Notamacropus eugenii: one gene and its partner. The protein of the gene in region 1 purifies or fractionates together with the protein of each later gene. This does not show direct contact. Links are inferred from orthologs where the notes say so. Each region holds a gene or a part of one and is shown on either strand. Other genes may lie near its edges.

Evidence for each region.
Region 2: the proteins of SPAST (region 1) and NUP43 purify together in Homo sapiens (affinity purification with mass spectrometry; 3 studies listed by BioGRID and IntAct, counting the BioPlex papers as one, with this or other methods). This does not show direct contact. The link is inferred for Notamacropus eugenii from reciprocal best matches to the Homo sapiens genes SPAST and NUP43.

The regions. Positions count from the first base shown.
Region 1 is NC_092872.1:534,845,383-534,860,339, reverse strand, and holds the start of SPAST (spastin), read right to left. Parts: upstream 8,028-14,957; 5' UTR 7,843-8,027; coding exon 7,422-7,842; intron 1-7,421. UniProt on the Homo sapiens protein: ATP-dependent microtubule severing protein that specifically recognizes and cuts microtubules that are polyglutamylated.
Region 2 is NC_092873.1:241,798,140-241,813,435, reverse strand, and holds the start of NUP43 (nucleoporin Nup43), read left to right. Parts: upstream 1-8,791; 5' UTR 8,792-8,921; coding exon 8,922-9,041; intron 9,042-10,417; coding exon 10,418-10,540; intron 10,541-11,665; coding exon 11,666-11,743; intron 11,744-13,209; coding exon 13,210-13,390; intron 13,391-15,296. UniProt on the Homo sapiens protein: Component of the Nup107-160 subcomplex of the nuclear pore complex (NPC). The Nup107-160 subcomplex is required for the assembly of a functional NPC.

The DNA of each region.
Region 1 (14,957 bases):
TCGAATTTATAAGAATACAAGTCATTCTCCAATTGATAAATGGTCAAAGGATATGAACAGGCAGTTTTTGGATGGAATAAATTAAAGTTTTCTATAGTCATATGAAAAAAATGCTCTAAATCACTATTAGTTAGAGCAACGCAAATCTAAACAAGCCTGAGGACCACATCACACCTATCAGATTGGCAAACATGACAAAACAAGAAAATGATAAATATTGGAGGGGATGTGGGAAAACTGTAACACTAATGCATTGCTGGTCGAGTTGTGAACTGATCCAACCATTCTGGAGAGCAATTTGGAACTATGCCCAAAGGGCTATAAAATTATACTTACTCTTTGACCCAGCAATAATACTGCTTCTAGGTCTGTAGACCTCCCAAAGAGATGGGAAAAGAACCCACATGTACAAAAATATTTATGACAGCTCTTTTTGTGGTGGCCAAGAATTGAAAATTGAGGGTATGTCCATTAATTGGGGAATGGCCGAACAAGTTGTGGTATATGAATATAATGGAATACTACTGTGCTATAAGAAATGATCAGCAGGTGGACTTCAGAAAAACCTGGAAAGACTTACATGAACTGATGCCAAGTGAAATGAGCAGAACCAGAAGAACATTGTACACAGTAACAGCCACACTGTTCAGTGACTAACTTTGAAAGACTTAGTGCTTCTCAGCAATGCAAGGATCTAAGACAACTCCAAAAGACTCATGATGGAAAATGCTATTCACATCCAGAGAAAGAACTATGGAGTCTGAATGCAGATGAAAGCATACTCTTTGCTCCTCTTCTCTTGTTCTGTTTCTTCTTTCTTGTGGTTCCTCTGATTAGTTCTAATTTCTCTTTATATCATGACCAATGTGAAAATATGTTTAATATGAATGTATGTAGAGCCTATATCAGACTGCACACTGTCTTGGGGAGAGGGTGGGGCAGACAATTTAAAATTCAAAATCTTATGCAAGTGAATGCTGAAAACTAAAAATAAATTAATTATATATAAAAAAAGTTGCTCTTAGAATCTCTATTTTGAGGAAAGGTTGAGGCCAGTCATCCTTTATTCCTCTCCTAGCTCTGTGTGACTCTTTGATTACTTTTTCACCTTGCCCTCTCTCCCACCTCTACTTTCAGCTCCCTTTAGAATGTAAGCTCTTTAGAGTAGAAACTGTCTTTTTGCTTATACAGTCAATTCTACTATAACCTGTGTTACCAAAACGAGAAATGTGTTCCAATGTAATTGATATTTTAGGAAATATTTTGAGCATGACAAGGATTTCAAGTTTGCTTCTACATGATTTCTTCCACTAGAAACAACAAAAATGCAGAAAACAGCACCACTTCACAATAATTCAAAAGCTGCAACCCTTCCAATGCCTACTTCCACAAGTGAAGTTTAGGTCTTTGTCAAGATAAAGTACAATCACATAGTATATATGTTCTTGTGCAGTAGCAGCTCTGAGTGGAGAAGGTCTGGCACATACCTTTCTACCATGGCCTTGGGCCCAAGGCCTGTAATTGCAGTGGTGACTACTCAATTTGCTTGCACAGCCTAGAGCAGCAGCCTCAAGTCATGGACACAGACATTATTTACTGTAGTATGGATTTCTTAATTTTAAAAATTAGGTTTCTATCTTTTTTTTTTTTAATGTATCACCAATGAAGTTTTTGAGCACTGTGCCTCTAACCCCATTTCCCCTATAGCTCTGTGAGATTTTTTTTACATGTTAAGGTGCTTTTGGAAAACTCCTAGATTGCAATGCAGCAGGATTGCCTGCATATCTATCCCCAGCACTGAGCACAGTACCTCACAAAAAATAAATGCTTAATAAATGCTTGTTGCCTTCATAGATTTTCAAGCTCTCAAACAAGGTACTATTCAAAGAAGGGCAAAGATCACCCGCCAAAAAAGTGGCCAAAAATATTAGTAACAACTACTCCATTTGTCTACTTTTTCTTCCTTATAAAACCTTTATGAAAATGATCCTCAAACATATTAAGGGAATTAACAAAAATTTAAGAAGGAAACAAGGAGGTATTAGTAGATGCTTCCTTACAGCAGACTACATCTTCTCAGTCACGCAATTGAATGGGAAGTATATAAAATATGAGTCTGTGTTTTCAATTGGTTGATTATAAAATAGGCTTAATGAAATAAAACAGGCTTAAAGATTCACCTCCAAAAAGGTATTTTCCACATAAGACAGTACAAGGTTCCTGGAACTATACAACCACAGAATTAACTTGTGTTCATCAATATTCTGATTATCTATTCAGCAAAGAATTAAAGAGGGACATTATGGCTCTGGAGGAGAAGTGAAGCTGGTGACCTTGCACAGACCTCCCTCACTCAAAACAAAGTGCAAGTCATGTCATCATTTCTCTGATGGCATGGTCTTCTTCAGCAAGAAAGGACAAACACAACCCTGTGAATAGACTCAGCTCCTTGTCTCCTGTCTGTCTCCCCCTCCCCTCATCTCCTCTCCAAAGGAAGGTAAATTTGAACGGCCAAAAGATGCCCAGGTGACTTGGGTTTTACTGGCTAGTCTCCCTTTCTCTCCCTTCCCTTCCCTTCCTTGAGCCTATTGTACTCTGAAGCTCAGACAACATGAGGCCCCAGCCCCCTGCCCAAAAGCTCTCTTCTGGACCCTCCTGGCTTCAGAGTGATTATCAATAGTAACTGTTGCTGTTTGCCTCCCAGCCTGAAGTCTTTCTTTTCCTTGCCTCATTAAAGGAGCCATGCCCTGACTACTTCTTAAAGAGGCCTATTCAATGAAGGGGCATTACCTCACCCAGGCAGCTAGGTGGTGCAGTGAATAGAGCACCAGTGCAGGAGTCAGGAAGACCTCAGTTCAAACCTCACCTCAGACACTTGACACTCACTAGGTATGTGACCTTGGGCAAGTCACTTAACCCCAATTGCCTCATCCTGGGTCATCTCCAGTCATCCTGATGAATATGTGGTCACTGGATTCAGATGGCTCTGGAGGAGAAGTGAGGCAGGTGACCTGCACAGCCCTCCCTCACTCAAAACAAAGTCAAGCGCAAGTCATGTCATTATTTCTCTGATGGCATGGTCTTCTTCAGCAATGAAGAAGAACACACACAGCTAATTATCTCTCCCTAAATGAGCATCTGACCAAGGTCTCCCACTGCATCCTGGGTCATCTCCAGTCATTCTGAGGAATATCAGGTCATTGGATTCAGATGGCTCTGTAGGAGCCAACACAACACAAGGACGAACACCACAAAAGAGGGACATATACTCATCAAAAAAATTTACTACACTTATGGAAAGATCCTGCAAGAAATTCTCTATAGACGAGGAGGTTACCCAGGTACTTCTCTTTGCAGATAATATTGTACTTGACTGCAGAAAACCCTGGAAGGCCAGATGGAACAAGAGAATCACTACCAGTAAAGAAATACTGGTTTAATAATCTACCCAGAAAAAAAAGTCTTCTGGACTCCAAATACAGCATTCTTTTTACTACATCCCACAACTAATCGATGGAATATAACAATTTCATTAGAATACTGTAAGTAATCCAAAGAGTGACGGTAAGAGATGTGATTAGTCACTAGTAAAACTATTCAGGGTAAGATTAAGTGAGAAAGCAAGGGAATAAGCATTTATATAAAAGTCTACAAAATGCTTGGAGTTATGCTAAGCACTTTTTTACAAATGTTTTCTCATTTTATCCTCACAATAACCCCACAAGATATGTGCTATTATTGCCCGATTTTACAGCTAAACTAAGGGAAAGAGAGGTTAGGTGACATATCCAGGGTCACACAGCTTGAAAGTGTGAAGCTGTATCTGAACTCAAGTCTTTCTGATTCCAAGACCAGTACTCTATCCACTGTGCCACTAGTTGCCTGTAAGTGTAGAGAGAAAACAAGCTTGGATATAATTACATTATCATGTACTACCAATCAAAAAAAAGAGAAAGAAATATAAGATAAGGAAAAAAACGGATCAGTTACATAGCAAGACAATGATTTAGAAAGTCATTCATTTTCATTCACTTATTTTTTTTAAAGAATTCTGATAGGACTTTAAAAAAGTATTATGGTATTTCATGAATTAAAATTAATTTTAAGATACTAAAAGCCCTAGGAAAGACCTTAACATTTGGGCAGAAATCCTTTACGCAAAAGAATCATACAAGATGAGATGTACAAAGAAGTTTCATTTAATACCACAGGGGGAGGGTGGGGAAGGGTGGTGGAGTATTCACACCAGTGAGATAATAATGAAGTATAAGTTATTCATTATTTTTATTTAGACATCGTGCTACAGTGAGAAGAGGAATGGGTTTGGGAATCAAAAGGCCAAGATTAAATACTAGGTCCAACACTTAACCAGCTGCATGACTGTGGGTAAACCACTTCACCTAACACTATTTCCTCATCTATAATATTTAAGATAGTACTACTTGGATTAGTTACACTTCAAAGAGCTATTGTGAGAAAGTACTTCACCATGAAATCCTATGCAAAGGTGAGCTATTAGTATAACTAGATTCTTTTTTCACTTGGTCCCGAATCAATTTCAGCGTTAAATAATGCTACTTGGCATTCCTTTCCTGTCTTCTTCCCTTTCCCTCCCAAATTACAGTAGTTGACAAACTCCTGTTTCCAAGTCCTTATTCTCAGAGAAGAAACATTTATTTTTAGACACCTTGTGGCTTAGAGTAACTCTTTGTAAGTGATAGATGCCTCATTACAATAGAGCAGTGTCTGTCAGTGTGATATAATGGAAAGAGGCCTGAACCAAGTCAGGAGATCAGGGTTCAAGTCCTGACTCCTCTCCTCCCTTTCTTAAAGTCAACTGCCCCTCTCCTGGGGCAGGTTGCTTCACTTGTTTGCACTTCACTTCAGGTTTCATATCTGTAAAAGGGGAATAATGCTTACTTCACAGAGCTATGAAAAAAGTGACAGACTATTGTGGGTTTTTTTTCTTTTTTAAGATTCCTCCTTTGCTATCCCAAGATATAATAAAAGTATAGAGAAATTGGAATATCCAACTCTTTGGTGATAGAAGCTTCTTCTCCCAGATCTGACTGTCACTCTTGTGCTCCCTCTACCCATAGATTACCTGATCCTAATTACTTCTAGGATTAAATACAAAGTTCTCTCTTTGACAATTAAAGCCTTTCACCAGGAGGCTCGAAGTGATTTTCAACTTTAGTATGCAGTTGTTGTGTTTGTCCTTTCCTTCTCAAAGAGGACCATGACATCAGGGAGATGATGACATGACTTGCAGTTGACTTTAAGAGAGGGAGGGCTGTGCAAGGTCACCAGCTTCACTTTCTCCTCCAGAGCCACCAGGGTCCAATGGCCAGATATTCATTAGGATGACACAACATGACCCAGGATGCAATAGGAGACCTTGGCCCTTTCAGACAAAAGTCTTTTCAGGTTCTCACTTTGAATGAGATAATACCCATTCAGTGAATTAGGTCTCTTTAGGCAGATATACAGGGATCACCTCTTGAATAAAAAAAAAAATCAAACTGGGAGGGGAAGACCTTCCAGATTCCTGGCCAAAACAGAAACAGCTACTACTTAGTATTTACTCACACTCAGTGCTAGGAAGGGTGAGGACCTATAATCCAATCTATCTTTGAGAAAGAAATCTAGGCAGTAAACCCAAAGGGAAAAAGCCAGCTTTTGGGCATCAAAATGTACCCTGCCCTGGGCAGAGCACGCCAGGTAGGAAGGGGAAAAGGAAGGCAGGGGAGAAGAGGGAAGCTGCTACTCATTCACAGGTTGATTATAAAATAAGCTTAATGGAATAAAATCGGCTTGAAGATTCACCTCCAAAAAAGTGTTCTCCACTAAGATATTACAAGATTCTTTAAACTATACAACCACAAAACTAACTTGTGTTCATCAATATTCTGATTATCTATATTTAGCAAAGAATTAAAAAGGGATATATATATATATATATATATACACTCATCAAAGAAGTTCATTACTCTTATGGAAAGAGATACTGTATTACTCCCCTCAAGTACAGCAGAAATGCCACTAACGTGGCTGCCACAGTAGTTCCTCACATAAGACATCCCATCTCCTTTCTCTCCCCCTTTCTTTTCACATGCTGTCATCCCCTATGCATCCGTTAGCCTCACCTCTGAGGGCCCTTGTTTCATTCAAAACCCAGTTCAACAGCTAGACCCATCAAATTTTCCCTGCTCTCCCCACCTGTGAGCTGTTTATCTCCCCAAAGTTAACTTATATTGTTTTATATTTACATATCATATCCCAATTTAAGGTAAGTTCTTTGAAAGCCAAGACTCTTCTTGGGTCTCCAGCAACTTGCACAATACCACAATACAGGGCAAGTGCTTAAAAAATGCTTTTTGATTGACTAATTGCGAATCACAGTGTTTTTGGTCTTCACATTTCCCCCCACTCCCCTTTGAAAAGTGAACAGTAACGCAGTGACAGAAAGTCGCTGAGAAAAACTGTAGTCTACTCTTTGCTTAGTAATCTAGAAAGCAAGTAAAATTGGGGGTGAAATGGGCAAACAAAACACAATGAAAACCATTATAAGAGATCCTGTAATTTCAAAAACAATTTCTATTGTTTCTAATTAAAACTTACCTTTTACATTAAGGTGATCCCTGTTAGGTTTTGGTTTAGGCTTTTTCCTAAATATTTACTCAACATTCATTTTTTAAAAATTACGCGTGACTGATGCTCTCTCTCCTTCTAGTCCTTCTCCGTTGGGAAGGCAAACAGTAAGCTATCAGTTCGTTTAGGCTTTTCCCACAATTTACATACTAGTATATGCAAGCCATTCAAATATTTCCCAAGTTTCCTTGGGGAGAGTTAGGTAAAATGAAGTAAATAAAGTCGGGAGTAAAAGTTACGCTACGAAAATCGACAAATGTACCCGTATACAAGTGTCAAAAGTCGCACCTGTCATTTTACAGTTGCTCTTTTAAAGGCCGGGAAACTTAGCTTTTGTTAAGCGAATACGAATGCAATAATAAAAACCCGATTTCCGTCGTAGGACCCCCGTTCCATTTTCTTCTTCCCTATATCTACTCTTATTTAAAACTAGACACAATCACCCCATCACCCATCGTGGTCGACAAGCTCCTTTTCAGGCAGCAGACTCTTTCGGAAACCCGGCCGGGCCTGGAGGCCAGTAAAGGTCGGCCCGGCCAGACGCCGCCTCGGCGTGGTCACCGCAGGGCAGACGGCGCGGCCATCGCTCCGGGCCGGCAGAAGCTGTCAGGCGGGGGGGGGGGGGGGGGGGGGGGCGGCGCGGCTGGTGACAGGGGCGCTCTCAGGTTCCCCAGGGGCCCCCGGATGCTTAAGGAGGCGGCAGAGTGCGCCCCACGGAGCAGCCACGGAGAGTGGGCTGGGGAACCCCCCTCCCACCTCCCCTCCGTTACCTTTCTCGTCCTCGTCTATGCGCAGGGCGAAGGAGATGTACTCGAAGGCCTGCTTGTGGAAGGCGCGGACCCGCTCGGCCTCCCCGCCTGCCGGCACGGGCGGAGGAGCCGGGGCCGAGGCCGCCGCCGCCCCCGGCCCGGTGGCCACCGTGGCCGCCGCCCGGGTGCTCCTCTTGGCGGCCATGAGGGCGCGGGAGAAGCGCTGGCAGAGCCACACGAAGAGGAGCCCCAGGTGGAAGGCGACGAAGCGGAGCAGCGCGAAGGTGGCCAGCAGCGGGTACGAGAAGTAGCACAGGTTCCGCTTATGCGGGGACGGGCCGGCGGCCGCGGGAGGGGCGGGGCCCGCGCAGGGGGGCGGGGGCCCAGCGGGCGCGGCGCTGCTGGAGCCTTTCTTCTTCCCTCTGCCGCCCGGAGAATTCATTCACGGCCCCCGCTGCCGCCGCCGCCATAACCCGCTGCCGGCGACCGAGCGGCGGCGGTGCTGGTGCCGGCGGCAGGAGGAAGAGGAGAAGGGAAGGACAGCAAGGACGGCTAGAGGGAGAGCGAGTCCTCCGAGCTCGCGCTACCCCTACGCCCCGCCCCGCCCCTTGCCTAGGTCAGGAGCGTCACCTCCCTTTCTCAGGGCCCCTCCCCAGCCGGTCTAGGTGTCGGGACTCGGGCCCTGTCCCGCCCCGCCCTCTCGGCCACAGTCTCGGGCTGTAGGGCGGTCACGCGCACGTCCTGTCCCCTCTCTTTCCGTTCATAGGCTCCGCTGTGAGGCGGGCACGCGCACGTTCCTCACGTTCTCAGGCTGCGTTGCGCACGGGCGCTTCGGTCTTTGTTGACAGAAGCCCCAGCGGTGCGCGTGTGCAGCCCTTCAGCCCCGCCCACCCTTCCAGGCTCCGCCTTCTAGAAACTTGAAACTCCCAGCTTGCCTTGCAGCCTTTTGGAGCCGGCCTGAATTCGAAATTATCTTAGCTTCTTGATGGGTTTTGTTTACTAACTGAGAGCTAACGTTTGTGAGCGCTTTAAAATTTGTAAAGTATCTGATTTGAGCCTCATCACATCCTTACTATTGTCTTCATTTTGGCAATAAAGAGGTTTAAACAGTGAGTTGTCTAGGGTCAGTCAAGCAGCTGCCATTTATGAAGTACCCACTGTGTGCCAAGCACTGGGCTAAGCACTAGGGGTACAAAGAAATCCTAAAACAAATGACCCTTCCTGTCAGGAGGCTTACAGTGTAAGGGGAGACAGCACGCCAAACCTGTATAAACCGGGCAAATGGAGGATGTTGGAGGGTGTCGGAGGGAAGGTATCAAGATAAAGGAGGACTGGGAAAGACTTCCCGCCTAAGGGGCACTTTGGTTCTTGAAGGAAAAGAAGCCAGGGAAACTGGGAGACCCAAGAGAAGGATGAAAGTTCCCAGGAGTGGGATGGACTACTGTTTAAAGTTGAAAGATGTCAGGATTTTACATTTGGTCCCAGAGGTGCTAGGAGGCCGCTGGGCATTTCCTGAATAGCTGGGTGATGTAGTTAGAAATCTGCTTTAGGAAAATTGCTTTCACAGCTGAGCGCAGGATTGACTAGAGTGGAGGGCGACTTGAGGCAGGGAGCCAACAGCAGACTATTGTCTAGGGGTAAGGGGATGAGGGCCTGCAGGAGAGTCGAAGGAGAGAAGGGCTTAAATGAGAGGCGTCACCTCCTGTAATCAACAGGACTTGGCAACAGATTGGATAGGGGTGGGGGTGGGGGACAGAGTTAAGAGAGAGCCAGCCAGGTAAAGGACAGAGGACTGGAACTGAAATCAGAAAGGCATGAGTTTTGATTCTGCCTCAAACCGTTAACAGCTTTTCCCTTAAATCCTGCCTTCTTCCTAATTTTCCTATTGCTATTGAGGATACCACTGTCTTCCCAGTCACTCAGATGTCATCATCTACCCCTTTTCTCTCTCATCCCTCATATTCAGTCAGTTGCCAAGTCCTCTCATTTCAACCTTTATAATATCTCTCATTTGTATATAATTGGTAGCTTCTCTCTCCAATTAGACTGTGAGCTCTTTGAGAGCAGAGACTGTCTTTTGATTTCTTTGTATTCCCCCACCACTTAACAAAGTGTCTGGAACACAGTACTTGTTTAATAAAAATTTACTAACAAAATTACTCTGGAATGTTATCATGGGAAGAGTCTTTTGGCATGATCTAGTCCAGGGGTGGGGAACCTGCAGCCTCAAGGACACATGTGGCTTTCTAGATCCTTTGGTGCAGCCTTTTGACTGAGTCCAAGTTTTACAGAACAAATCCTTGTGTTAAGGGAATTTGTTCTGTGAAGTTTAGATTCAGTGAAAGGATAGCACTTTGAGGGTCACGTGTGGCTTAGAAGTTGCAGGCTCCCCACCTTTGATGGTCAAAAGCTTTCCTTTTATAGGTGAAGTAAACAGAAGTACAAAGGAACTAATTAATTAGATTAATTATGAAAATAAGGTCTTTTAAAAAATAAACATGCCATGGTGAAATCCTGTATGATGTGAACCCTAGATGATGTGAACCCCAATGTAGTGGGAAATCTCAGATCTTAGGATAGTAAATTTAGAGTTGGAAGGAAATTTTTAAATCATTCATTTTATCAGTAGGGAAACTTAGGCCCAGAAACATGAAAGTACTTGACCCTACTTCACCTCTGAAGTTTTTATATGGTTTAGACTTTACTGCAAATCATTAAATTTCATTTAACTTTGCCACACCACAACTGCCCGCGAATGTAAAAAGACCTCTTAGACTTCATTATTTTCCCCATGCTGCTTGCTATATGGCTACAAATCACAGAAGAGCAGAGTCCCAAAGGAAGCATATTGCCATAGATTACTTGTAAAGGTCTTGTTCACTCACTAAGTGGGGAAGGAGCACCTTCCCCTTTAGCCCTGTGGCCCTAAGAAATTGGCTTGAAATTCTGGTCCGTTTCAATTATCTTTTTCAGTTTTGGGTACAGGCGGCAGAATTCTGGACCCAGAAGCTCAAGCCATGGTAACCTTAGAACCAGATTACCAGGCCAGATGTTACTGTCAGTCCAATAAGGAAGCCCTAAGAAGCCGGGGGCTTTGGGCTTAGAATTTGGCACAATTAATACAGGGATGTGATAGTAAATGTTTAACAACCAGCTTGGGGCAGGGGGGGAAGAAGGGGATTGGAGAAGAATGTAGCCATAATATACTTTTAAATTTAATCTGCATTATTTACATTTTGTCCATCACTACTATTAGTAGTGCATTGAACAGTGAGTGTTTCAAAGCAATGACAGCCCATACATAGTTGCTATCACAACTACTCAATTCTGTCATTTTGCCATAGACAGTAAGTAACTTGGACACTGAAATTTGAATTTTATAAAAAATTTTCATGTGCCATGAAATATTATTTTTCCTTTGATTTTGTTTCAGTGATTTAAAAATGCAAAAACCTAGGCTATACAAAAACAGGTGGCACAATGAGGGATGGGCAAACAACAAATGGGCCATTTAAAGTCTGACACCCTTAATTTCACCTAGTGTATTAGGGGATTCAATTAGACGTGTCTCCTGATCAACCATCCTATCACACAAGGGTCTCTGGTTTTGGTTTCTAATCTTTTAATAAATCTTTCCACTTTGCAATTGTGAATATTGTGGGGTTTTTTTGCAAGTGAGTTTGTGTCAGCTGAGACCCTCACGTTCCTCTCTACTGGATATGACTTCTCTACATGGCTATTTTCACTATCACCTTTCAACTTCTATCTTCACTGAAATCTTGACCTAGGGTAGTGGCATGCCTTTTTCTGCAAAGAGATAGTATACTTACCCTGGCATCAGCAAGTGTCTTCATTAATCAACTGCCTCAGTTTCAGATGAGGCCTGCCATCTCCTATGCAGCAGTATCACACTCTTGCCAACTCAGCCGTGCTTTGCAGCTGGACTTCCCAGGTTGCATACAAGCAGTTCTGCTATAAAAGGACATATTAATTCCCCAAAAGCACCTCTGTTCTGTACAAAATTATCCAATAAATACTACAGAGCTTATAAAAAAATGGAGTTAATAACGCAATGTTCAAAAACTTCATCATGACATATAAAAAAATAGGAACCTAATAAATGGCAGGACAGTTTTATACATTTTAAATAGTTAAAAAATACATAAATATTGCAGTAAATTATAACTGCACCTGCAACATTGGTGCCTGCTCCAGTCTGCATAAACAAGCTAAGCAGGTATAGTATAAAGAAGACTTTTGTCCTTATAGTTCAGTTTCCCGGGATCCATGGCCATAACAATCTCAGTTTCCCAGGCTAATGCTAAATTGTAAATATCTGAAGGATAGATCATGGATGCCTTACTTCTTTGAACTCTGGTCCAGTTCACAGCTGTAACACGTCTGGTGCTGGGTGACATAGACTTTGGTGTCTTCTGGCTCTGAGCCTATCAGTATATATTCTGGAAAATTGATTTCTTGCCTTGGGGCTTGCTCATGGGAAGCATGCTTTGCCTGAGACCTTTTTGATTTCCAAAATAGGGCTCTGGGTAACTGTTATCAAAGGGCCGCTCAGCTGACCAAAACTCAGATGTTGGGGCTCTCTCGGTTTGGTGATATATTTTCTCCACTTTCAGGGTGATGACCTTTCCCCTGAACAAATGTTAGTTGAAAGAGGAAATAATCTCATAGAGGGAGGAGGGGAGAGGAGACCTCTCATAGGGGGAACCTTTAGGGTTGAATGCTGTGTGTGCCTTGACCTACCCCCATCAAGGCTTGAGAGAGAAGAGACCTCTGCTAGAGAGAGTGAAGGGGGAACCTTTAGGGTTGAATGCACAGGCTGGAATGCTTTGTGTGCCTTCACTTGCTTGCATCAAGGCTTGAGGGGATTTAGGGCAGTGCACAAGTTGTGCCTGTCTCAACTGACCCCATCAAAATGTAGGGGGAGTTGCCTCCCCTTCTCTCCAGTCTCTGTGAGAAGGGTGATTAGGGAGTACTATAGGAGTTAGTGGTCCCATTGCCAGCAACACTTGTGGGAACACTGGAACACTGGACTAGAATAAAGTAAGATTATTAACCCCTTTGAAGGTGTCTGCCTGTCTGACCAAATCAAGAGTGAACCTGTGCTAGCAGCCCTGAAGTATGCTATATTTATTGGGGATACAGAAGATCCCCACTGAAATTCCCAGCCTTGGGGCTTTGGAGTTATGGAAAAAGTGGATGGGAGTGGTGAAGAACTACTCATCTCCTCTCACAGTTTTTACTGAACCAGAAAATATATGACAAATATAGCCCTTTACCTTGAGAAAGATCTAAAGTTTGCTTGTGGAAATGGGTATTGGAAGATTTGTAGCTTCTGGGTTATCATAAAATGGTGCATAGTTTTCTGCATTCTCACTGTTTCCAGTAGAAGAAATTTCCCTGAAGCAATCTCAAAATTTCAAAACAGGCATTACACTTTTAAGTGTTCAGAAACACATGATAAACCTGAATGTGTCTTCTATGTGTCTGTCCTTTTGCTGAAAGACACCAATGTTGATGATGAGGAGGAGAGAGAAGGTCTTGTTCCTTTACTCCTTTTGACTCCTTTTTTTGAGTTTTCTCCACTACTCAGATGCTAGTAGTAACAGTTTCTCTAATTTTGATTGCTGTTTATCTCATGAGTGGACAGAGAAAAGGCAAGCCCAGCAACAAGTATATTATATCTGAAACTCTCCAGTGAGTTAGTTTCTTGACCCTTTTAGACACTTTTAGCCAATAGACTACTCAGTATGAAAGAGGCTTACCAATAATGCCCCCCTTTCCTTGTTTTCTGTCCCTTATGTTGCTGTTGCTGCTGTTGAGTGGTTCAGTCATGTCCATGGTCCCATGCACCAGCACACCAGGCCAGGCCTTTCTATCTTCCAGTACTTCTTGAGATCTGTCCAAGTGCGTATTCTTTGTTTCCATGACACTATCTATCCCTCTCATCCTCTGCCTTCCCCTTTTCCTTTTGCCTTTCCCAATATCACTTTCCTAGTGAGTCTCACCTTCTCATTAAGTGGTCAAAATATTTAAGCTTCAGTTTCAGTATTTCATCTTCCAGTGAATAGTCTGAATTAATTTCTTTAAGTATGGCTGATTTGATCTCCTTCCTGTCCAAGGAACTTTCAAAATTCTTTCTCCAGCACCACCATTTGAAAGTGTCAATTCTGAGATGCTTAGCTTTCTTTATAGTCAAGTCCCACAGCCATGCATTGCTACTGGAAAAACCATTGCTTTGACTCTATGGACCTTTGTCAGCAATGAGATATCTCTGCTTTTAGGTAAGCTGTCCATATTTGCCTTAGAATTCCTTTCAAGGAACAATTAATTTCATGGCTGCATTCACCATCTTCTGTGATCTTTGAACCCAAGAATGTAAAATCTGACACTGCTTCCATTCCTTTTCCTTCTGTTTGCCAGGAAGTGATGGAACTGTTTACCAAGATCTTCAGGGGTTTTTTACGTTAAGCTGCAAGCCACCTTTTACACTCTCCTCTTTTATTAAGAAGCTTCTTAATTCTTCACTTTTTGCCATCAAAGTGGTATGATCTGCATATTTGAGATTGTTGGTATTTCTCCCAACAACCTTAATTCTGCCTTTTGATTCGTCCAGCCTGCCATTTTGAATGATGTACTCTGCATATAAGTTAAATAAATGAGGTGACAGTATACAGCCTTGTTGTATTCCTTTTCCAATCTTAAAACAATCAGTTGTTGTATATTTGGTTCTAAATGTTGTTTCTTGACCTGCATACAGGTTCTTCAGGAGACAATTATAAAGATCTGATACTTCCATCTCTTTGAAGATTTGCCATGTTTTGTTGTGATCCACACAGAAGAAGTAGATTTTTTTTCCTCTGGGACTTCCTTTCTCCAGAATCCAGCAAATGTTGGCAATTTTGTCTCTAGTTCCTCTGCCTCTTCAAAAACCAGCCTGCTTTTCTGGTAATTTTCTGTTCACATATTGCTAAAGCCTAGCTTGCAGAATCTTAAAAAACATAACCTTACTGATGTGAAATAAATGAAATTGTTCAGTAATTTAAACATTCTTTGGTATTGGCCCTTCTTTAGGATTGAGATGTAAACTGATCTTTTCCAATTCAGTGACAACTGTTGTTTTCCAAATTTGCTGACATATTGAGTGCAACACTTTGACAGTATCATCTTTTTGGGATTTTGAATAGCCCAGCTGGATTTTCAGCACTTCCACTAGCATTCTTAGCAATGCTTCCTAAGGACCATGGGACTTCATTCTCCAGGATGTCTGACTCTAGATCAGTAACCACACTATTGTGGTTATCAATGATGTTAAGGTCTTTCTTGTATAGTTCTATGTATTCTTGTCACCTCTTCTTAATTTGTTCTATTTCTGTTAAGTCCCCGCTATTTTTCTCTTTTTCATGTCCATTTTTGTATGAAACATTCTTTTGATATCTCTAATGTCTTGAAGAGAGCTCTTGTTTTTCCCATTCTTTTATTTTCTTCTATTTCTTTAAATTGCTCTTTTAAAAAAACCTTCTTATCTCTCCTTGTTAT
Region 2 (15,296 bases), on another chromosome or scaffold:
AATATTTTTGGTTATGCATAAGTGACTAAATTTAGACAAAAGAGGTAAGATGATGACAATACTGCAGAATCTTTGCTACCAGATTATAGTACACTTCAATTGACAAGAAAAAGAAAGTAGTTGAATCATTTTTGCAATATAGATTCACTTCAAATAATGATGATGGTGTGGAAAAATCTCTTTGCTTAATTTACAATGAAGTTTTGGCGTGGAGAGCATAAAACCAGTCAAATAAAACGACATCTTAATACCAAGCATGTTGTAATAAATCAAAGGAATATTTTGAACAACTTTTAAAATCTTCAAATAAAGAAAAACAAGGTTTTGAAAAAGTTGTTATTGTCAATGAAAAGTATTTACTCGCAGCTTATGAAATTTCTTATTTAATTGCAAAAACTAAAGAGCCCTACACAGTAGGAAAAGATCTTCTGTTACCTGCTGCTATTAAATGTCAGAAATAGTTCAGGGGAAAAAGTATGAGGATGAAATTCATAAAATTCCTTTTTTGAATGATACCATTTCCAAAAGAGTTTCTGAAATTAGTCATGACCAATTCCAGCAGCTTATTACCAGGCTTAAGGGCAGCCCAAAGTTTGCAGTTCAGTTAGATGAAATAACTGATTTTTCTAACATAGAACAGTTGTTACTTTATGTAAGATATGTTCATGAAGGAAGCATACATGGGGAATTATTGTTTTTTTGCCTTCTGGAAGGGCACACAAAAGGGAAAGATAGGGCGGAGCCAAGATGGTGGAGTAAAAGCAACGACTTGCTAGAGCTCCCCCTACAACTCAGCCAAATACTTGTAAAAAAAAATGACTCTAAACAAATTCTGGAACTTCAGAACCCATAGAATGACCAAGTAAAGTAAATCTCCAGGCCAAGACAGCCTGGAAGGTCAACAGGAAGTGTCTTTTGTGCTGGACCAGGAGCAGAGCACAGTCCAGCATGGGCCCTGCTGGCACAGATAGGACCTGAGCAGGTGTGAGGGGGGAGTGGAACAGAATCTATGGCATCTGTGACAGTTTCCAGACTTCATGACCCCAAAACAATGAGGACAAATTGGAAGGTCAGTAAAAATCTGTGGGACATGTGTGAGAGAGTAGAGTGGTCCAGTCCCAGCCGCAGGGCAGCAGAGGGGGCTGAGGAGCTCAGGAGCAGCCACAGCAGCAGCAGGGGCAGCAGCAGTGACTGCTTCTGGAGCTCTAGGCCCACAAATTGTGGGAGGATGGAGTGGCCGACAGTATACCCCACACCCCCACTGGAAGTAGAGAACTACCTTGACAAAGACCTTACAAGTCAAGTAATTGGCTGGGGAAATGAACAAAAATAGGAAAAAAATCATATTATAGAATCTTATTTTGGTGACAAAGAATATCAAAACGTACAACCAGAAGGAGACAATAAAGTCAAAATTCCTACATCCAAAGCCTCCAAGAAAAATATGAATTTTCCTCAGGACATGGAAGAGCTCAAAAGAATTTTGAAAATCAAGTAAGAAAAGTACAGGAAAAAATGGGGAGAGAAATGAGAGTGAAAATCATAAAAACCAAGTCAACTGCTTGCTAAAGGGGACTCAAAAAATGCTGAAGAAAATAAAAATTAGACTAACCCAAATGGCAAAAGAGATCCAAAAAGCCAATGAGGAGAAGAATGCCTTAAAAAGCAGAATTGGCCAAATGGAAAAGGAGGTCCAAAAGCTCACTGAAAAAAATAATTCCTTGAAAATTAGAATAGAATAGATGAAAGGTAATGACTTTATGAAAATCAAGAAATTCTTAAATAAAACCAAAAGAATGAAAAAAAAGCATACAATGTGAAATATCTCATTGGAAAAACAACTGATCTGGAAAATAGATCCAGGAGAGAAAATTTAAAAACTATGGTTCTACCTGAAAGCAGTCATCAAAAAAAGAAACTAGACATCATCTTTCAAGAAATTATCAAGGAAAACTGCCCTGATATTCTAGAACCAGAGGGTAAAATGGATATGGAAAGGAGCCACTGATCATCTCCTGAAAGAGATCCCAAAAGGAAAACTCCTAGGAATATTGTAGCCAAATTCCAGAGCTCCCATATCAAGGAGAAAATATTGCAAGCAGCCAGAAAGAAACAATTCAAATATTGTGGAAACACAATCAGGATAACACAAGATTTAGCAGCTTCTACATTAAGGGATCAGAGGGCCTGGAGTATGATATTCCAGAGGTCAAAGGAGGTAGGATTAAAACCAAAAATCACCTACCCAGCAAAAGTGAGTATAATATGGATGTCCAGTTTTCCCAGCAGTTTTTGTCAAACAGTGAGTTCTTACCCCAGAAGCTGGGGTCCTTGGGTTTATCAAACAGTTGATTGCTATATTTATTGACTACTATGTCTTGAGTACCTAACCTATTCCACTGGTTTACCCCTCTATTAAGAAAAGGCTTTTTCAATGGAGGGGAAGAGGCAGAAGGTGAGAGGGAAAGAGTGAACTTTCTTACTGGATTTGGCTTAAAGAGGGAATAACATGCACACTCAATTTGGTATGAAAATCTATCTTACACTACAGGAAAGTAAGGGGAAGGGGACAAAAAGGGTTGGGGGGTATGATAGAAGGGAGGGAAAATAGGAGGAGGGGATATTTAGAAGTAAACATTTTTGAGGAGGGACAGGGTCAAAAGAAAGAACAGAATAAATAGAAGGCAGGATAGGATGGAGGGAAATATAGTTAGTCCTACACAGCATGACTATTATGGAAGTCTTTTGCATAACTACACATGTACAGCCTATATGGAATTGCTTGCCTTCTAGGTGGGGAAGGGTAGGGAGGGAGGAAGGAAGAGAAGTTGGAACTCAGAGTTTTTAAAATGAATGTTAAAAATTGCATGCGACTAGAAAATAAGACATACAGCAATAGGGTATAGAATCTACTTTGCCCTACAAGAAAATATAGGGGAAGGGGATAAAAGGAGGAATGCGATAGAATGGAGAACAGATTAGGGGGAAGGGGTAATTAGAATGCATGGTGTTTTGGGTGGGGGAGGGGAGAGATGAGGAGAAAATTTGGAACTCAAAATCTTGTGAAGTGAATGTTGAAAACTAAAAATTAATTCATTAAAAGGAGGGAAGATATATATATATGTACATATATAAAAATTGAGTTTTTCACAAGTGAAGGTTTATAGTGGAAAAATTGCATTGGAGTCTGTACAGATGGTGCTGGAGCAATAATGGGCAAGAATGTTGTATTTGTAGCAAAAGTTAAAGCTGATGGAAATGAACATATCCTTTTTACTTACTGTATCATCCACTGGAAGGCACTCATAGCCAAAGAAATATCACCAGAGTTAGATGCTGTGCTTTACAATGCTATCAAAATCATTAACTTCATTAAAAGCCATGACCTTAACAGTTGTTTTCAAACCTTTGGAAAGACATGGACTCTGATTGCAAAAGCTTATTACTACATGCGGAGGTAAGGTGGCTCTCAAGAGAGAGAAATTTAAACAGATTGTTGAAACTGAAAGATAAAGTTGTTATATCTTTGATTGAGCAGAAATCCAATTTTGTTAACTTTTTTCATAATGACTTATGGCTTTCAACACTGTGTTATTTATCAGATATTTTCAAAAAAACTCAATGATCAAATATGTCGCTTCAAGGAAAGAATTGTAACATATTTATGTTAAAAGATAAAATTGAAAGTTTTATTTAAAAAAATTAATATATGGAAGAATAGGGTAGAAAATGGTTTTTTACAAATGTTACAGCTACAGATGATTTTATAATTGAAAATAACCTTCCCAAAGATTTAATTGTAGGAGTTATAATTGATCATCTGAAGTGCCAGGAAACACAGTTTCAGAAATACTTATCTTCAAATTTCGATTCTAAAAAACTAAGTTGGGTTTATAAACCATATTCAATTGAAATCACAAACATCAATCATTAAAAGTTCAAGAATTTACTGAGTTATCAAATGATACAGGTTTAAAACTTGAGTTTCCTAAAAAAACTGCTAAATGAATTTTGTCTTGGGATTAGGACAGACTTTTCAACAATGTCTGAAATGTCCCTAAACATATTTCTGCCATTTTCTACTATGTATTTATGTGAAGTGGCATCTCCACATTGTCGATCATACAATCAAAATATCACTCAACTCTGGAAAATGTTGAAGATGCTCTATGTACTGCAGCATCAAATATTCCTCCAATATTTAATTCTTTATGTAAAAATCAACAAGCACATCCATTTCATTAGTATGAAAATTTGTTTTTATCTCTAATAAATGATAAAATTATATATGCCAAAGAATTGTTTTAAAATAAATTTCTTTATGATTTACTATCAGTAAATTTTGATTTGTATAACTATTTTATATACTGACATACCTAGGATCACATAAAAATTTCTCAGGCAAAAAGGGGTCACTAGCAGAAAAAGTTTAAGAAGCCCTGGGGTAGAGGACTGAGGGCAAGAAGCAGTATAAAATGTAACCAACCTGACTGTGAGAGAAAAGGGCCAAAGTCAACCATTTGTAATGTTGTCTATGACCTTATTTGAATGAGGAAAGTGACCAAGGAACTAGTATATGCTTGGAGGGAATATCCAATGCACTAAGGGCCTTCCTCTAGGTCTTTTTATGTATAGAATGAAGAAGTATTTTTTATTAAGCACTTCCTATGTGCCAAGCACTATGCTAAACACTGGGGATTCAAATGAATAAACAAAGCAGTCCCTGCTCTCAAGGATTTCACAATTTTCCCTAAATAGGGAAAGTAAATGAGTTTTCAGTTGTAGGGCAGATGGAAAGGTGCCAAGGTATTTAAGGTGTAGCAACAGGGCAGATGACAAAGCCTAGAAACCCATAAGGTGAATTGGCAGGTCAGACTGGCAATGCCTAGGGTAAGACTGATGGTAAGGCCCCATCTTAACTGAAAGGATGGTAGCAGGTAACTCCCTACTTATCCAAGCAGTGTGAGCTTTATATGTCCCCAACCAACAACTGGTGGGAAAGGGTAGAGTAGGCCTAAGGATTAAATAGACCTTTAATTACCTCAGGAAGGGTATGGGAATGGCAGTAGAGTTAATAGGGCACCACCATCCTTCCAGTCACCCAAGTTCTCAACTTTAGTATCATCCTTACTTTTACTGACGTCAAATTTACAATTAGTTGTCAGATCTAATTTCAATTATTACAACTTTTTTTCAGATATATCCTCTTCCTTTCAATCACACAGCTATCACTTTCATTCAGACTTTCATCATTTCTTAGCTGGATTATAGCAATAGTTTAGTTTCCTAGTTCAAAATCTGCTTCAAGTATTTCCCCTGTTAAATCCATAATCCATCCTCCACACAGCTGCCAAAAGTGATTTTCCTTAAAGCTCAAGTCTGACTATATCACCCTTCACCCCTGCCTCTATAAACTTTAGCAGTTCTTTATTCTCTCTAGGACCAAATATAACCTCCAAATATACCTGGAATTTAAAGTTTTTCACAATCTGGTCTTTTTCTACCTTTCTAGGCTTTTTATACATTATTCCCCTTGATGCATTTTATGATTTAGCCAATTGAGTTACTTGCTATTTTTTCATATCACAATTCATCTCTTTATCTCAGTGCCTTTGCAATGACTGTTCCCCAAACCAGGAAATACTTTTCCTTCTTACCTCTACTGCTTAGGATCCCTGGCTTCCTTCAAGATTAGTCTCAAACACCACTGAAATGGATTACAATTTATCTGTTCCTTCTTATCCTATGTTACTTATCCATGTCTCTACATAAATCTCCTATAGAGGATCTACCCAACACATCAGAAATAGGCCAAGAATTCTTAACCTGGGGTCCTTTCTGGAATCAAGCAATATACATAGTGGTTGTATGTTCTCTAAACATCTCAGTCAATTGTATGGCTTAAAAGATGAAGTCTCTGATAGAAAATCTTACAGGAACACTACTGAGGTCTTTCGATACTAAATCCATTGTTCCATCCAGTAACAGCTCAGTTGGGCTCTTTATTTCGGCTACAATAGCCCTGTCACTCACATTCTCATGGTGTGTTAAACAAAACTATAATTACTTTACATTCAGTACATGATTGCATTTGATAATTTAGATAAAAAGCTTTCATAGAGACATCAGAATTGGAACTACAGAGTTGTAAATACACTCAGACTATCTAATCCAACCTGTACCTGAAACAGAATCCCTTCTCATTTTCAACATACACTCAACCAGCTTTTGCTTGGAGACCTCCAGGGAGAGGGAATCTCCTAGAGGTAGCCCTTTCTACTTTTACATAGCTCTAATTGTTGGGAGAATTTTTCTTATATCAAATCTAAATTTGCCTGTCTTGCATCTTCTACCCATTACTGCAAGTCTGCCCTTCAGAGCCAAGGAGAACAAATTTAAACTCTCTCCCTCATGATGGCCCTTCAAATACTTGAAGACTGCTTATCATGGTCCCTCTGTCTTTTCCTCTCTAGGTTAACCCTCTCCACAGTTTTTTCACTTATTCTGGCTGCTTTCCTCTGGATACTCTCCATCTTATCAATGTCCACTCTAAAATGTGGCACCCAGAACTAAATACAATACTTCAAATGTAGTCTGACCAGCGTAGAGTACAGTGAGACTGTGTGTTTGTTCATTGCCAAAGAAGACCATGCCATCAGAGAAATGATGACGTGACTTGTACTTGACTTTGCTTTGAGTGAGGGAGAGCTGTGCAGGTCACCAGCCTTACTTCTTCTCCAGAGTCATCTGAATCCAGTGACCAGATATTCATCAGGATGACTGGAGATGACCCAGGATGAGGCAATTGGGGTTAAGTGACTTGCCCAAGGTCACACAGCTAGTGAGTGTCAAGTGTCTGAGGTGAGATTTGAACTCAGGTCCTCCTGACTCCTGCAGTGGTGCTCTATCTACTGCACCACTTATCTGTATTACTTTCCTAATTCTGGATCCCATGGCACAGTATGAAACTTGAGACTGCATCTGCTTTCTTGGCAGCCACATCATTATTGACTCTTACTGAGCCTGCAGAATACAAAACCTCCCATATCTCTTGCAGATGGACTGATGCCTAATTATACCCCTCCTGTCTTTTACTTGTGAAACTGATTTTTTTTTAAAAGATCAAGTGTTTTTACATTTATCGTATTAAATTCCATTTATTAGTTTTAATTCAGTGTTCTAAACTGTCAAGATCACTCTGATTGCTGACTATTGATCTTGTTAGCTATCTTTCTAACTTTCTGCCATCTGCAGATTATACAATAAACATGCCATCTACCTCTTTATCCAACTCAGTGATAAAAATGTTAAAAGGCATAGGACTAAGCACTTTCCAAGCTGACACTGAACTATCAATAACTCCTTTTTTGGTCCAACAATTAAACCAGTTCCTAATCCACTTACCTTATATAATTACCTCATCCTTCTACCTTGTCCGGAAGATTAGCATAAGAATCTTTGTTGTACCATTTTGCAGAAATCTAGATAAAGTATATTCACAGCGTTCCTCTGATCTAGCAATCTGTTTCATTAATGTAGACTGAATGATGAATCCAAACTGGCTTTTTGTGATCTCTGCTTTCTTTTCTATGTCAACTACCACATTTTTGGAACTGTTTCACAGGAGTTGAAGTCACTTAGGCAGCTAGGTGGTGAAATAAATGGATAGAGCGCTGTACCTGGAATGTTTAACTCCCCGCTCAGGGGCTTACTTACTAGCTGTGTCCCCCTGGGCAAGTCAATTAATCTTTGCCTGCCTCAGTTTCCTCAGCTGTAAAATGGAAAGAGTAATGGTGCCTACCTCCGAGGGTTGTTGTTAGGATGGAGATGATATCTGCCAAGTCTTTTGTAAACCTTAAAGCCCTACGCTAGGTATAAAGTCAAGGGTGCTACTTTCTTGGCAAAGATTCCATCCTTTTCCTTTCCTTTTTGTCCTCCAGTCCTGCAGTGCTTGTTTCTAGCCTGCAAAGGCTGTGGACTGCCTCAGCAGGCACCCCCCCAGTCTTTTCAGTGCCCTGATGTGGTTCCTCTGGTTGTGATGCCCTAAGGGAGTGAGGGCAGTTTAGTCTTGACATCTCCTCACTCAGCGTGGGACACAAGACTGGATCTCTTCTGCTCCTTACAGGATGCCTGGAAGGCAGTCTGACCGCGAAGCTTAGAGGAGCAGGCGGGGAGGGCCCTGAAGGCCTCCTACCGGAGCTGTGCTTCTCTGGCAGGTAACACAACGCCGCAGAAGGGTGAGTTCATGAAATGAACCGCGGGGGAGCTTTTCCTCCAGTTTTGTTTGTTTGTTTATTTATGCAGGTGAACAGCAAAGTCTCATAGCACGGAAAAAACAAAAAATTAGAAAGACGTCATTTGGGGATTTGCTTTAAGTGGGTATTTAGGAAACACCCAATCACTCCAGGATTTTAACAACGATCGTGTCCTAATTAAAATGTACGTGAAACGTTACAATGACAGCTTGGGGGAAGGGGAGGGGACGGGGAGGGGACGGGGAGCGCTTCCTTAGCTTCACAAAGTTGACGACAGGCAACGAGGAATCTGCTAGAAAGCTGAAGGGGAGAGCAGCGGAGAACCAACCGAAGGGCAGCCCCAGGACCTTCAGCTACACAGTCTTCCATCCCAAACCCTCAGGGCTTCCGGCATCCCACCCCCTCCCAGAAATCGAAAGCCTTTCGGAGCCTACCGAAGAAGTTTGTCTTTCCTCGCTCGCCGTCTCCCGGTGCTTTCTCTTAGCCAATCAGGATGCCGGGCAGGTGGTCAAAGCAGACCGGAAGAGGCGGGCCCAGGGTCTTTTCTCGGCCGCCGTCTCCCGGTGTCTTCTTCTAGCCAATCAGGATGCCGGGAAGGTGGGCAAAGCAGGCCGGAAGAGGCGGGCGCAGGGATTGCGCGCGCGGTAGAGTTGCGGCCTCTCAGTCATGGAGGAGATCTTTGCCAAGTTCGTGTCCCAGAAGATCAGCAAGACCCGGTGGCGGCCGGTGCCGCTCGGGAGTCTGCAGCCTGCCGAGACCTTCGCCACCGGCTCTTGGGACAACGAGGTATCCGCCTCTTCCTTGTCTCGTGGCTGCCAGGTTCCCGCAAATCGCGCGCTCCCCTTTCCCATCCTGCCGCATCTTCTTGGGCTTTCTTGGCCTTCTCCCCCACGCACGCGGAGCAACCCACGAGCTTCGCGCTCGTTCTGAAAGGACTCCCCCCGCCCCCCGACTCGGGTCATAGACGTCGGAGCCAGGAGGGATGTTAGGTACCATCCATTCCAATGCCGCCCTCTTTAACTGAGGCTCAGAGAGGTTAGGCTTCCTGCCCAGGTCACACAGTAGGAGGTTGAAACCCAGCTTCCCCGATTTAATTGCTTTTTTCCTATCTATAATATTTACTAGCAGTGTAATTAATGTAATAATATAAATCCCGAGGGGGTCATTTTTCCTCTCGGGAACTAGCCAGCTCCGCTGGCCCCTCAGGGTTCTTCCTCCAGATAACAGATTGTCTGAGTGTTACCAGGAGGATTCGGAGACCCAAATAATTCGGGCAAAGTCACGCAGGCAGAGAAGCATTAGAAGACACCTGTTACCCCTAGAAGTCAACACGCATTTATTAAGTACTCACTGTGTGCCAGATTTCTGTACTAAGTACTAGGAATATTTTTTCTTAAAGCTTCAGTCTCTTCCCTCTGAGATTTCTTACGATTTGTCTTGCTTTTAAAAAGTGGTCTGCCTACCATCATCCTCGTTAGAATGTTAGCTTCTTGTGGCCAAGGACTGAGGCTTTTTTTTTCTTTTTTAAACATCATTTCCCAATTGACTGGCTCCCCTTAGTTTCCAGTTTTTGGCTACCTTGGAAATACCGGCTATAAATATTTTTGTACGTAAGACTCATAGTGCTATCCCTGTGTAAAAAGGTATACACAATTTAATAACTCTTTGGGCATTAAATTATATTCTTGAATGGCTGGACCAGTTTATAGCTCCGTCAATGGAGTCTCAGTGTGTTTTAATAACTTTTTTATGCACTTAATCTGTTTCTTATAATTATTTTTCTGCATGCGTGATCTCAAATATAAATCTGGAAAAAGATGCTTAATGGTCTTCTTAAATGAATGATAACCCCCTTATAAATTCCAAAAATTTCATGCCTCCATGATAATAGTTGTCCTCTTAGTATCAGTGACTGAGACAATACATAATAAGCTAGTGGTGCCCATATATAATATTACTGGACCTGTTGAAATAGTTATTGGCCCCATTCCTCCTGTTTCTCCTAACATTCCTACAGACTGGAAACTACTTGAGTGGTTTAAACTGTTACCAAATAATTGATCATCCAAAAGTAAAACATGGAATATTTGAAGTGAACGAAGATTGTCATTTTATAAAATGGACTTAATCTGTCATAACATAAAAATGATACTAATTTACAGGAAAACAGTGTTTCACTCTGGTGTATTGGAGATTTTGGTAATTTGAGCACCGAAGGAGGGTTTGAAGGAGATCATCAGTTATTATGTGACATCAAACATCATGGTGATGTAATGGACTTGCAGGTAACCTAGACATTTTAAGACTTAAAATACTATAGAATATTATTTCTCTAAATATATATTCATATGGCCCAGAGTTAATCTATTGTTCACTCTTCTGAGATTGAGAATAGCTTAAGAAAGCCCAAATTTATATAAATATCCATTTATCATAATTAATATTTTTGTCTGTGCAGTAACTTTTTAAAGTGCTTTCGTTACTTTGCTCTTACTGATAAGGAAAGGCAATGTGTAATAGTTTTGAACTGGAATGAGCAACAGAAGACTTTGGGTTGTCATACCATATAAGATTTTAGCCTCTATAAGCCTTATTCTCCTCTTAAAGTAGTACTTGCCATGCCTACTTTACAGAGTGCTAAGGAAAGCGTTTTATAAACTGTAAAGTACCATGTGGGAAGCGTGAAGGCTCTGTGGATGGAGAGCTGGCTTTAAAGTTGGAAAGACCAGTTTCAAATCTTGTCTCCAAGACAGTGAATTACAAACTAGCAGCAGCTCTGTGTTGCTGATTTGCATGTGTAAAAATTTCCATGCTGAGTTTCCTTCACTGATGACATAGGTTCAGATTTATCCCCCTCTCCTCCCCTCCAAAAACCACTTTAAATAATGAATTATTTATAATTTTGTTAATTTCTTTGAGCTTCAATTTGTTTGTTTTTCAATCATTTAGTCCTGTCTTACTCTTTGTGACCTCATGGACCATACTGTCCATGGGGTTTTCTTGGCAAAGATGCTGAAGTAGTCTGCCATTTTCTTTTCTAGTGGATTAAGGCAAACAGAACTTTAGTGACTTGCCCATGGTCACACTGGTAGTGTTTGAGGATGGATTTCAATTCAGGTCTTCCTTACTCCAAGCCCAGTGCTCTATCCACCGAGCCACATAGCTAGCTACCTAAACTTCAGTTTACCTCTCTATAAATTGGAAATAACATCAGCCTGACCTTTCTCACTGATTTGTGAGAATAAAATGAAATAATATATTTGAAAGTCCATCATAAAAAGTAAAGTGTTATACAAATTATTATTATCTTTTATGTTTAAAATTGTGGTTATGTTTATCATTAAGTAAAATTGTACAATTGTTTACTAATATTTTGAATCTGTAACGAGCAGGATTTTTCTACTGCTTAGTTTTTGGACCAGGAAAGAATTGTAGCTGCTTCATCAACAGGAAGTGTAACAATTTTTCTTCACCATCCAAATAATCAGGTAAATAGCATTTTATACAAAAATTGAATTTTTAAAATTATTCTTAATGTTTATAGGTTAATATGTAAATCCTTCCTTACTGAATAATAAATTATGCTTTGTAATCCTAAAACCTAAAGGGCAAAAAAATTATAAAGTATTCATATTAGTGTAGACTTTTCTCAAAACCTAATATTCTTTGGGCATGGTGGTATATGCCTATGATTCCCACTATCAGGAAAGCTAAGACTGGAAGATTTCTTGAGCTTTAGAGTTCTGAAGTGCATTGGGCTAACCTGATTGGGCATCCAAACCAAATATGGCATTAAATAAATGGGCTACCAAATTGCCCAAAGAAACAAAAGAAATTAAAATTCCCATGCTAACAAAAGTGGTATTGGGCCCATTGTAGTTCCAGCCTGGTTGAGATAGGTAGACCCAGTCTTTTTATTTTTTAAGATAATATTCTTTACCATTAAGTAGTGAAAATTCTATTAATTTAAACTGAATAACCTATCATTTTAGAGTAACTGTAGTCATGTTACTTTGCCTTTATAGTTGTGTCACTTTTTTTCAAAGACAAAAAGAACACTTATTGTCTTACTTGCCATAAGGGATGGAAAGATCTCTTTGGTTCTACTAATGATGCCTAGATTTTTCTTTAAGGGGTAGATGTTGAGACAGTGGCAAACCTTCATAAAAAATGCCCCTTTTTTAAAAAATCTAACCCAAGTTTGTTGACTGACCTTCAGAAAATAATAAAGGACGCTTTGATGAGAAAAACTTATAGTAGCATAGGGTCTTATATAGCTTATGGCTAGAAAAGAAAACCTGTTGAGATTTTTCTTCTTCCCATGCAGGTCATCTTAGTGATTTAATAAAGTCAAGAATGAAACATTTAAAAAATCTAAACTATGACTTTTATTTTCTTAATGACATTGTTGACAGGAAATCATAATTTCTGACAACCTGATTGTCTAAGAAAATTACTTATTTTTGAACGCAGTAATCCTGGATACCTAATAATTACTTTTGAAAGACAAGTGAAGTAAATGAAAGTGTTACATACAATAATTTAAAGCATCTTGGAAGTCCTACTTGCTTGGGAGCTTTTTAGCCGCCTTAATGACAAGAGATATTCCAAGATGAAAAATAAGCTGTTTATCATTAAAAACTTTCCTTTAGAAATTAATCCAATGGATAGAGGTTTGAAAAGTGTTTCCTAGTCACAAAAATTATATTTTCTGTGAAATATCAAGGACAGAGAGAGGTTTTTCTGTGGAGCTGAGAGGAGAAATAGAAACAGAAAAAAAAAAGCATTTTGTGTCTTTGATTACTTTAGGTAATTATTCTAATTTCCTTCAAACCTGGAAGTACTATATCATGGGAAGAAAAATTGCTACAGTTGCTATTTGATAACCTTTGATTTTTTGATATCACCAAATGACTTTAAGGTGTTTTTCTTCACCCTCTCTTATTCCTCACAGACTCTTTCAATCAGCCAGGAATGGGTAGGAGCCCACTACCACATTGGCCCAGGTAGTCCTTCCTATAGGAGTGCACCATGTACTGGTATTGTATGTAACAGTCCAGAGATTGTTACTGTTGGAGAAGATGGCAGAATCAATCTCTTCAGAGTTGATTACAGGGAAGCTGTACGGACTATAGGTAAGAAGACTGATTTGTTCATTTTTTTTGACCAATAAGTATTGGCCACTCATGCTTATGAACCATTGTACCACTCTGCTATGAGAACTACAAAGATATACAAGAAAATCTCTGTCTTTGAAAGACTCAGTTTAGTATGGGAGTTAAAACGTGTAAATAAATATCTACACTAGAAGGTAATATACAGATGATACATACTAAATGAGATGCAAAGGAAGGAAAAAGTGTTTCTGTTTGAGATGATCTAGAAAGACATCGTGAAGAACATTGCTTTGAGCTGGAATTTGAAAAGTGGGTGGATGATGGTGAATGGAAGAGTTTACAGGCAGTGAGAGTAGCTTGAACCAAAGAAATGGAAGTCAGCAAGCACAGTATGTGTTTGGGACATAGTAGCTCAGAATTTGGAGGTGTAGCTTGAAGTAAAACTCGAAGTTAGTTTGAGGCTAGATGTGAATACCAGGCCAAGATTGAATTAGCTAGAGAAAGCTACAGAGTGATGCTTTAGGCAGATTCATTTGGCCAGAATGTTTCAAATTAATTTGAAGGGAAAGAATTGGGGAAAAACAAGAATTTATTGCAGGAGTCCAGAAATGAGATGACTGCCTGAACTATGGTTCAGAAGTACTGAAAGACCAGGAAGAGCTTTGAACCTGGTTGAATTGTCATGATATCAACAGAGATAGAGAAGAAGTAAGGACTGAGCAATGTGCTGCAGTGAGAAAGACCCTTTGATTTGGAGACAAAAGATCTCATTCAGATTCTGGCTCTGTTGCTTGCATGTGTGACCTTGGACAAACCATTTCACTTTTCTTATCCATAGGGAGCAGGTTAAACTCAGTGGTCTTGAAGGTTCCTTCCAGCACTGAATCTGTAATCTTATGATCCTACAAGCTAGTTTGAGAGGATTTGGGGATTATGTGGGTTGTTTTAGATATGTTATATTTGAGATGACAGGTGAGACAGGTGGAGATGGACATTGCAATTGGACCCTGGGAAATCTAAGGACTTAGAGCTACATTTTTGGAGCTGCAGTTATCCCTTCTGCATCATGGGTGTAAGGGTTAAGATGCTCTCTCAATCCAGAAAATCTACATAAAAATTTTTGGCCCTCCCTTCATAACAAAGAAGTCTGAATTTTTTTCTTTTATGGGGTGTTTACAGGACCTTATTGTAAAATGTGAGTTGATGTTATATAATACACATATTTTATGCATTTCTGAGTTTCTAAACTTTTTCTGTTTGTCATCTGGCCTTTGTGTGTCTTCTGCAACTTCTGCATAACTCCCCCAAAATTCCCATTTAATTTCTTATGCTGCCTGGCCCTTGATATATTGAAGCTGATGGGGAAAGTTCGTGATAATTAAAGCTAGTGAAAGTGAACGACATGTCAGATGAGAGCATGTAAAAGAGTATGCAGTGTTGCAATCTATAATACTTTATATTTAAGACTAAATATTCTTTATAAAAGGAGAATTCTCAGCTCAGATTTTAAAATAATTTAATATAATTTATATAACAATTTAAATTTTCTGTTTTTTCTTAATTGTACTACTGATATTCCCTGAGATAAACTTTGCAATTGTCCGGTCTTATCTGTAAATAAAAACCGGAACTGGCTCTATAGGTATAATTAAATTTAATGTATTTCTTTTTTCTTTCAGTGGTCGAATGAGTCAAGGATGTTTTTTACATTTTTTAAATAGTTGTATTGTTTTTTAAAAAGCGTAAAAACCATTCTAAGCTTGCTGGAAATATAAAAACAGGGTGGGCCAGAATCCCATGGGTTGGAGTTTGCTAATCACTAGTCTAATATCTTAGTTTTCAACTTAAAATGGAACTTGAATGTTATGTTAATTATGTTAATCCTTTTGTAAACCAATTAGCTTTACACGGTGAGGAATCTTGA